2 linked regions of the Arabidopsis thaliana genome follow. The protein of the gene in region 1 interacts with the protein of each later gene in a pairwise test. Each region holds a gene or a part of one and is shown on either strand. Other genes may lie near its edges. The genes, in order: PYL7 and AT1G72340.

The links.
Region 2: the proteins of PYL7 (region 1) and AT1G72340 interact in a two-hybrid assay, tested with the Arabidopsis thaliana proteins (one large-scale study listed by BioGRID).

The regions. Positions count from the first base shown.
Region 1 is NC_003075.7:444,956-448,876, reverse strand, and holds PYL7 (PYR1-like 7), read right to left. Parts: upstream 1,900-3,921; 5' UTR 1,698-1,899; coding exon 1,548-1,697; exon of another isoform or gene 1,324-1,547; coding exon 1,108-1,323; intron 1,038-1,107; coding exon 768-1,037; 3' UTR 542-767; downstream 1-541. Other genes in the region: AT4G01030 (pentatricopeptide (PPR) repeat-containing protein), read left to right, coding at 1-541; AT4G01023 (RING/U-box superfamily protein), read right to left, coding at 2,157-2,419, 2,501-2,612, 2,698-3,034, 3,330-3,385; AT4G01020 (helicase domain-containing protein / IBR domain-containing protein / zinc finger protein-like protein), read right to left, coding at 3,834-3,921. UniProt on the Arabidopsis thaliana protein: Receptor for abscisic acid (ABA) required for ABA-mediated responses such as stomatal closure and germination inhibition. Inhibits the activity of group-A protein phosphatases type 2C (PP2Cs) when activated by ABA.
Region 2 is NC_003070.9:27,234,791-27,238,711, reverse strand, and holds AT1G72340 (NagB/RpiA/CoA transferase-like superfamily protein), read right to left. Parts: upstream 1,916-3,921; 5' UTR 1,896-1,915; coding exon 1,410-1,895; intron 1,329-1,409; coding exon 1,176-1,328; intron 1,061-1,175; coding exon 919-1,060; intron 749-918; coding exon 507-748; coding exon of another isoform or gene 486-506; exon of another isoform or gene 437-485; coding exon 230-436; 3' UTR 100-229; downstream 1-99. Other genes in the region: ALAAT2 (alanine aminotransferase 2), read right to left, coding at 2,141-2,257, 2,345-2,548, 2,633-2,707, 2,793-2,947, 3,027-3,222, 3,296-3,433, 3,504-3,614, 3,670-3,813 and 1 more.

The sequences.
Region 1 (3,921 bases):
GAGGCTTCAAGTACTAGAACCACACAATTCAGCTAACTACATGATGATGATAAACTTGTACAGTAATTTGAACAGATGGGAAGATGTTGAACGTATACGGAACTTAATGAGGAATAACAGGGTGAGAGTCCAGGATCTGTGGAGCTGGATTCAGATAGATCAAACGGTTCACATCTTCTATGCGGAGGGAAAAACACATCCTGATGAAGGAGATATATACTTTGAGCTGTACAAATTAGTCTCTGAGATGAAGAAATCAGGTTATGTGCCAGACACAAGCTGTATACACCAAGACATAAGTGATTCAGAGAAAGAGAAGCTGCTTATGGGACATACAGAGAAGTTAGCAATGACGTATGGCCTTATCAAGAAGAAAGGCTTAGCTCCTATAAGAGTGGTCAAAAACACGAATATATGTTCTGATAGCCACACCGTAGCCAAATACATGTCGGTTTTGAGAAACCGTGAGATTGTTTTACAAGAAGGGGCAAGGGTTCATCATTTCAGAGACGGAAAATGTTCCTGCAACGACTCTTGGTGATAATATAGATACTACCTAGCTCTGTTTTTTCTAACAATGGTGCGTAAATACAGACACTGTCCAACAAACACCAGAAAACAAATTACATCAAAACTTTGACTGCATGCTCGAAAATGGCCCATGGAGCTGATCTGAGTAAAGCAGCAGAGAAGCATGATCACACGTGCTTCTATGAATCTAAATTTCCTTCACTGAGTTTGTTCGTGGGACTAATCTAGCCAAATCTTCAAAGGTTGGTTTCTGTATGATTCTTCTCTCTGTATCCATTGGAAGCGTTACAGAAAGTTGCGATGGAATTGGTAATGTCTTGAGCAGCCAATCTTTCAGAGACACAAGCCAAGGATTTGAGGTTACACTTTATGAGTGATTCCACGAAGTAACATGTATCATCTTTGGTGTTGCCTTGAGGAACATCCACAACAAAAGACTCCATCACCATAGTTCCTGACCTTCCATCAATCATCTCCGGATGCACAGTCAAGATCGAAGAGTAATTCTGCAGAAAACAATAACCATTATAGCAACCGCTAATGTTTCTGAATACTATGAGATTTGGATTTAGTCACCTTAAGTCTATGATCACCACCAATGATGTTGATACCGAGGATGTGTTCTTCATCATCAAGCTGTTCCAATCTCTCTGTACTGGTGGTTGCTGGAAGACCAGATTTGACATTTACTTCTCTGAGACAACCGATCTCAGGATCACCATTTACAGTGCATCTGCTTATAAATGGTTTGTATTTCTGCGGCTGATCAAATCTCCGCACCAGTGACCAAACCTGAATCATATATGTATATTCACTATCCTTAGCTTTAAGACTAAGAGAGACCAACAAGTAAACTAAAAAAAAAACGAGAATTTGCAAACAAAAATAGAAAGATCGGGAACCCTAAATCCGGCGAAATTTCATTTTCCCGGTGAATCAGACAGAATTAACTTCAACAAAGTACATAAAGAAAACAGAGAAAGAAAAACAGAGGATGAGAGAATAGAAGAGCGTACAAGATGAACAGGAGCTTGAATGTATTTGACGAGAACAGAGGTACACTGGTTCTCTCTGCAGTGGTGAAGATGACGCAACCTTAAGGACTGTGCCGTCACTAGAGCTCCGTACATCTCTGTATCTGTATCGTCTCCTCCGATCATCTCCATCTCCGACCAACCAGATATCTCTTATCTTCTTTCTCTTCTTTCCTTTTGAGGAATCTTGTTGGAAGTGGATATAATAGAAGCAAACAAAGTAAAGCTTCGATTTTTATTTATGTTTGGTTGGTTAGGCTAAGAAAATCAACGAAGACACCGACATATATTAATCCACCAACGGATTTACGATGAACCGACAAATCTTTAAGATAGATTACGTGTCTTAGTTTAACTGGTTTGTCGTCTACCTTTTTGGATTAGCTGTTGACTTTAAGCACGTGTGTATATCTCTCTTCTCCTGCCAAGTAAGCTTCCCAATTTTTACGACACCTATCTATCTCCGAAGTATGATCTCATCTTCTCTAAAAAGTAGATAGATAAAAGAATCTTGTGAGAATCTATCTTATTAGATAAAGATTGTAGCTGATGTCAGCATGAGATCACAATAAAACTCTGTTTTGACCCGATTTACACGTTCCAATTCACCGACTTCATTACCACAAAGGCTTTGGACATATTAGCTTTAGCTGTTTCCATCGTCTCCTCAGCTTCTTTCACCATATCTGCCGCCATTGTCGCCGTTTCTCCCGCCTTTGTGGCCATAGCCGCCACTTTTTCCACCATTGTTTCAATCTCCTCCACCATTTTTACAACCTTTTGCGCTACGCCCTTGGCGTCATCCGCCATTGTCGATGCCTTTTCTAACATTGCTGTCACTTCCTTTACCATGGCTACAAAGAGACATCACCGAGCGAGTTTTGTAAGAGTAGGTTTTTGGTGTCAAAACAGAGAGTTTTGCGTTTTTAACAAACCTCTGGCTTTCTCACGTTCTTCCTCTATTCTTTCCTTGATCTCCACGGCTGTGTCGAAAAGCCCTAGAGTTGGCTCGTTACACACAAAACAAGTATCGTTCTCAGTGTGATGCTGCATTATGAAAAAAAATAACAAGGAAAATCTGTTTTGAGTGTGTTTTCAGAAATTACGAAACTTGTTGTAAGGAAAAGATTACCTTTAGAGCACACTTGTCGCAGAAGTAATGGTTGCAGTTGGTGACAACAGGATCCAAGAATGGGTTTTGGCAAATGGAACAGGCTAAGGGCAATGCATCATCATCCTCTTCCCCTGTTAGCACAAAGTCAGTTTCAAGCTTCCTCGCTGTTTCTTTTTTTATCTTCTTCTCTAGTTTCTCTAATCTGGAGCTTTCGTTATTCGAATCTTCATCTTCTACTGCATCAAGATCTCTTTTCTTTAAGTTTTTAGTCATTTCACCTTCTTGAGTCTCTGTTTCTTGCTCAGCAAGTTGAGATTCTTCCTCCGACGTTTTAGCTTCATCAGAATCTGACATTCTATATCAAATTAACAAGTCAGGATTTATTCTCTGAATGAAACATATACGGATTCTAATTTCGATTAGATGTTATGACAAATCATACACTCTAGAGATCTGATTACCAAATTTAGTTCGAAAAGAGAAATAAGAAACATGATTTCAACTAATTTTAACCAATACGTAACCTAATGAAAACCCTAGTTATTAGATGATTCTAGGGAATGTAGAATCAACCCTTTTACTGAAAATGGCGGCAAAGTTTCTGACTTCGAAAGAAAGAACGGAGAGAAGAAGATTTGAAAATAACCAACCTCGCAGTAAGAGTAAAGCAGTGATGATCAGAAAACATCGCCGGAGATAATAACATCGGCGGTGACGACGCCTTCACGGTGAGAAGAATATGAAGAAGAAAGAAGTTGCAAAAAGATTTGGGGACACTGAACAGTTTAGTTAGGCCGGTGGGTTCGATTCGAATATCGAATTGGGCTTTTAATTAAGGGTAGGCCCATCAAATGTTTTTTTGACTCTTAAGTTAAGGCCATTAATGGCGATGTCTCTGTATGTTAGGAAGTAGTTTTCTTTCAACTTAGTAAACTCTCTGTAGACATTTACGCGTAATCAGTGATGTAGCGAGTCAAGTCCCAAGTCTTTCATTTACAACAATCTTTAGTTTATTTGGCATCCGGATTAGAATATGATCGGTTCATTCAATTGGTTAAAGAAGGTACTATACCGAACTACACTATGTTCACATATATGTACACATTAAGCAAACCAGATGTTACAGGATATAGATACATGGGTCCAGTCCGGTTTCAAAGCCTGTGAACAGGCTGGGCAACAGGGTGCTCTGGGACACCTAACTCGACTAATCCGATTCCACCATGAATTGTCCTTAAATGG
Region 2 (3,921 bases), on another chromosome or scaffold:
ATAAGATTGTTTAAAGTTAACGGTGTTGATACCAGGATCGGAAACTGGTTACCGGAGAACTGGGCCAACTGGCGGAAACTGATCTAAATCGGAAGACGAAGCAGAAAAACTACCTCAATATTTAAGATAAAAACATGAACTTTGAAGATCTTAAAAGGCTCAAAATTGGAAGTTTTCACTTCTGAAGCAAAAGTAGTATAAATAGTTAGTTATTAATTAGGAGTTGAAATTAGAGATAGAGTTGAATAAGCTCATCGCTAACTACAGAGGGAGAGAGAACACCAAGGTCAGTGAAGAGGAGTGTTAGGTACTGAGGCGGAGTATAGTCTCGAGCTGACCTCTCTACTTCCACCTTTGTCGGAATCTTTACACCAAATTCGATTGGTCTCAACGCCGGTGCCATGTCCTTTTGGTCTAATGGGTAAAGCCTAGCGAACTGCAAATACACAACTTTGTATCATTAACCACTCTCTTACTATGGGATCTTATAAAACCGTTTCAATTACCTTGTAACTCTCAGCAGCAACATAGACCGGTTTGTTCATGCTGTGTGCCACAAGTGCGATTTGGTATGTTCCCATCATGTTGATAATACCGCCACTTTCTACAACTCCATCCGCCCCGACAAACACCATGTCTACCTCGTCCATACTATACGCCACAGCTGAATCAAGCAGTAGTTTCACTGGGATATCGAGCTTCGATAGCTCACTCGATAACAGAACTCCTGTTCCATCCGGCCTCCCCTCTATCATTTTTTCACCAAAAAAAGTTAGCGAGAGGCTACTAATACAACAAAATCATAAAGAGACAGGGTTTATAAGGTCAAGACTATGCAACAAAAATGTCTCAGAGAAACCAAGAAACATTAAGCGGATACAACTCAAGTTCCAATCTAAGCTTGTTGTTTAAGCGAACCTGTGCAGAGAACTCGAAAGAGCTTGTTGTTTTGTGCAGCAGTCTTAAGTATTTCCAGAACAACTCTAGAGAGTCCATGAACCAATATGGTACAACCATCGAATATAAAATCTTGACTAAGCATTGCGATAATCCTACGAGCCTGCGCAATAACCAAACCTTTATAAACCCTCTTCTATCAAATACTAATTGATCTACTTCATTGATATATGTACAAAAACTACTAAATATGAGCCAGAAGCCATAAAAGGAAGTACCTTGCAAGATATTTCCCCAAATTTCTCAGCACGTTCAAGAAGACGAGACTTAGCTGAATTGAAATCTTCATATTCCAAAGCAGACGTTCTCGTAACGTATCTGATAAACAAATCGCATCCAGCTGTCAAAGAGATCGACGTTTTGTCCCACGACTGCCAAAATTTGAACATTTCTTAAATCAACAAAGCCCACAAAATCGAAGAATGAACAGAAAGTGAAAAATGAATTCTCACCTTGAGTGTATCAGAAGCCTTTTTGAGCTCAATTTCAAGCTCCATCATGGTGCTCGCTTCGCTCGCACGAATAACAGCAGCCAAAGCTCGTATAGCCGCGACGGCTTCAGCCAGATCCGGTTGTTTTCTCCAGTTATTGAACTCTTCAATTACATTAAACGACTTCTCGTTCCCGAGATCAGTTACGGATAAGTCATGCTGGGCATCGCCTGAGACGCCGCCAACGGCGGCTTGAGCTTGGGCTAGCCAGTCGCTTGTAATGACACCGTGATGCGCCGCGCGAGTTTGGTAATAAGCGGAGATGGAATCAGGGTTTTGAAAAGGACCTCGTGTTGTATCCGCCATTGGAGGTGAATTCGAGCTTCGTCGCTCGTCGAGAATAAACGACGGTGATCTTCTCCACATTGATTTTTTTTTTTCTTGAGAAAATTCTTCAAAATGGAAAAATTGAAGATAATATACTGTCGCTTTCTCCAGAAATATCATATGAAAAATAAATATAAGGCCCATTAATAATATAAGGCCCATTTATAAGCCCAATAAATTTACTAATTTTCATATCTTCATATGACATGCCATGGAATGGAAGTACAAAATATTCTAAAATTAAATTAGCTGATCACAATTGCCTGATCAAATTCAAAACACAAGTTTTCTTTTTTTTAATAACTCAAACTGATCACACTTTTCTTCAAAAGGGTCTTTAAGTTCATCTTCATGGTCAGGTCCTTTTAGTTGCGGAACTCGTCCATGAAGCTCTTGTGGAACTCTGTCAGACGATTCACTATCGCTGGAATCTTGTCTTCTTGTGGAAGTATTGTGCATCTAAAGTGCCATGTTCCAGGAACCTAAACCACAATGAATCCAAAACCCATTATTCAAGTTCGATCCTTTTGTAAGACATTTAAAGTTATGAAGATTTGGTTATATTTTACCTGTCCAAAGCCAGAACCAGGGACTACAACTACACCAGTAGCATTGAGAAGGCGTTTGCAGTAGAACGCATCTGGTGCAGTTTTTTCAGCCTCAGCAGCTTCGATAGCCTTTTGAGGAAGGTTAATTCGCGGGAAGAGATACATTGCTCCTTCGGCTCTGTTACATGTAACACCTTCTAAACTGTTGAGAGCGTCTTCCAAAGTCTGCAAGTTCATTTTCAAGCTTGTGACATTATATACAAAGAGACTGAAAAATGTCGTTAGAGGGTATTGTAATCTTCGACTAACCTTTGCACGTTTAGCCATGGATGAGAGAATTCCATCTCTTTCTGCCATGTATGAGTCATATGAGTCATCACCAGGCTGATCAAATACAATATTAGACTTTTTAGTCATAATCTGTTGCAAGAACTTAGCGAAAACCGATTAGAGAGAACTAGGGTGTTACCTTGGGTGGGCTCATGACAAGGCTAGCAAGAATTTGACCAGAGATGTTAGAACAAAGATTCACAGAAGCCATTTTGTATATCTGTTCTCTTACATCAGAAGTGAATCCAGTAACCTCCATGTAACCTCCTCTTTTTCCACATTCTCCATAATATCCTATCAACAGAAGAATATTAAAAACAAAAACCCCATTTTTTAGATGACAAGCATTGGACAGTAAAAGTTGTTCTTTTACCTTTGGAGACTGATTGGAACGAGACTAACGAGATATCTTTTTCTCCATAGCCCAAAGACCGAGCCACTTTCTTGAAAGAATGGAACTTTTTGTCAGGGACGTAAACATTTTCTTGGTAGACTTCATCAGCTAAAAGAACCAAACCCTCTTGCTTGCAGAAATTAACAATGTCACGCTGGTTTTCTTCCGCAAGAACCTAACCAGAATAAGAACGCAAGATTAGAAGAATGTTACATTTTGTTAGGCTAGTCTTGAAAATCTGTTTGTACCTGCCCAGTTGGGTTACCGGGGTTTATGACAACCAAGGCCCTTACAGAGATGCCCTTGGACCTAGCTTCCTCTAGTTGCTTCTTAAGGTCAGATATTTCCAGTCCCCATCCTGTTGCTTCATCAAGATAGTACGGAACCTAAGAAGTACAAATTTCAAAAACTTGTACCAAAAAACAACATTACTCCATGATGATTATATGAACATACCAAAGATCCACCATGAAGGGCAATTGAAGCCGAGTACAATGGATACTGAGGAATCGGGGAAAGAATACCATCTTTCTCTGAGCTCAAGAGAAGTTGCATCATCATGTGAACCTATAGAGTAAAAAACACCAAAAACACTTAGCATGAATCCTTTAAAAGAACTTACTCTAACTCTATGAGATAACGTTTTCGTTTTGATTGTTACCGCTGGACTTGCACCATCAGTCAAGAAAATATCATTTGGATCAGCAGGGAAACCATCACGTGCTTCGATTCCAGCTGCAATTACATCACGTAAACCCTTGATACCCTGAGGCAGAACAAAAAATGAAACATTCAGCAACATAAGAACCATCTCAAGAAAGGGTTTAGGACTTTTAACTAGACTCTAATAACAAACCTGGCTATGACTGTAAGC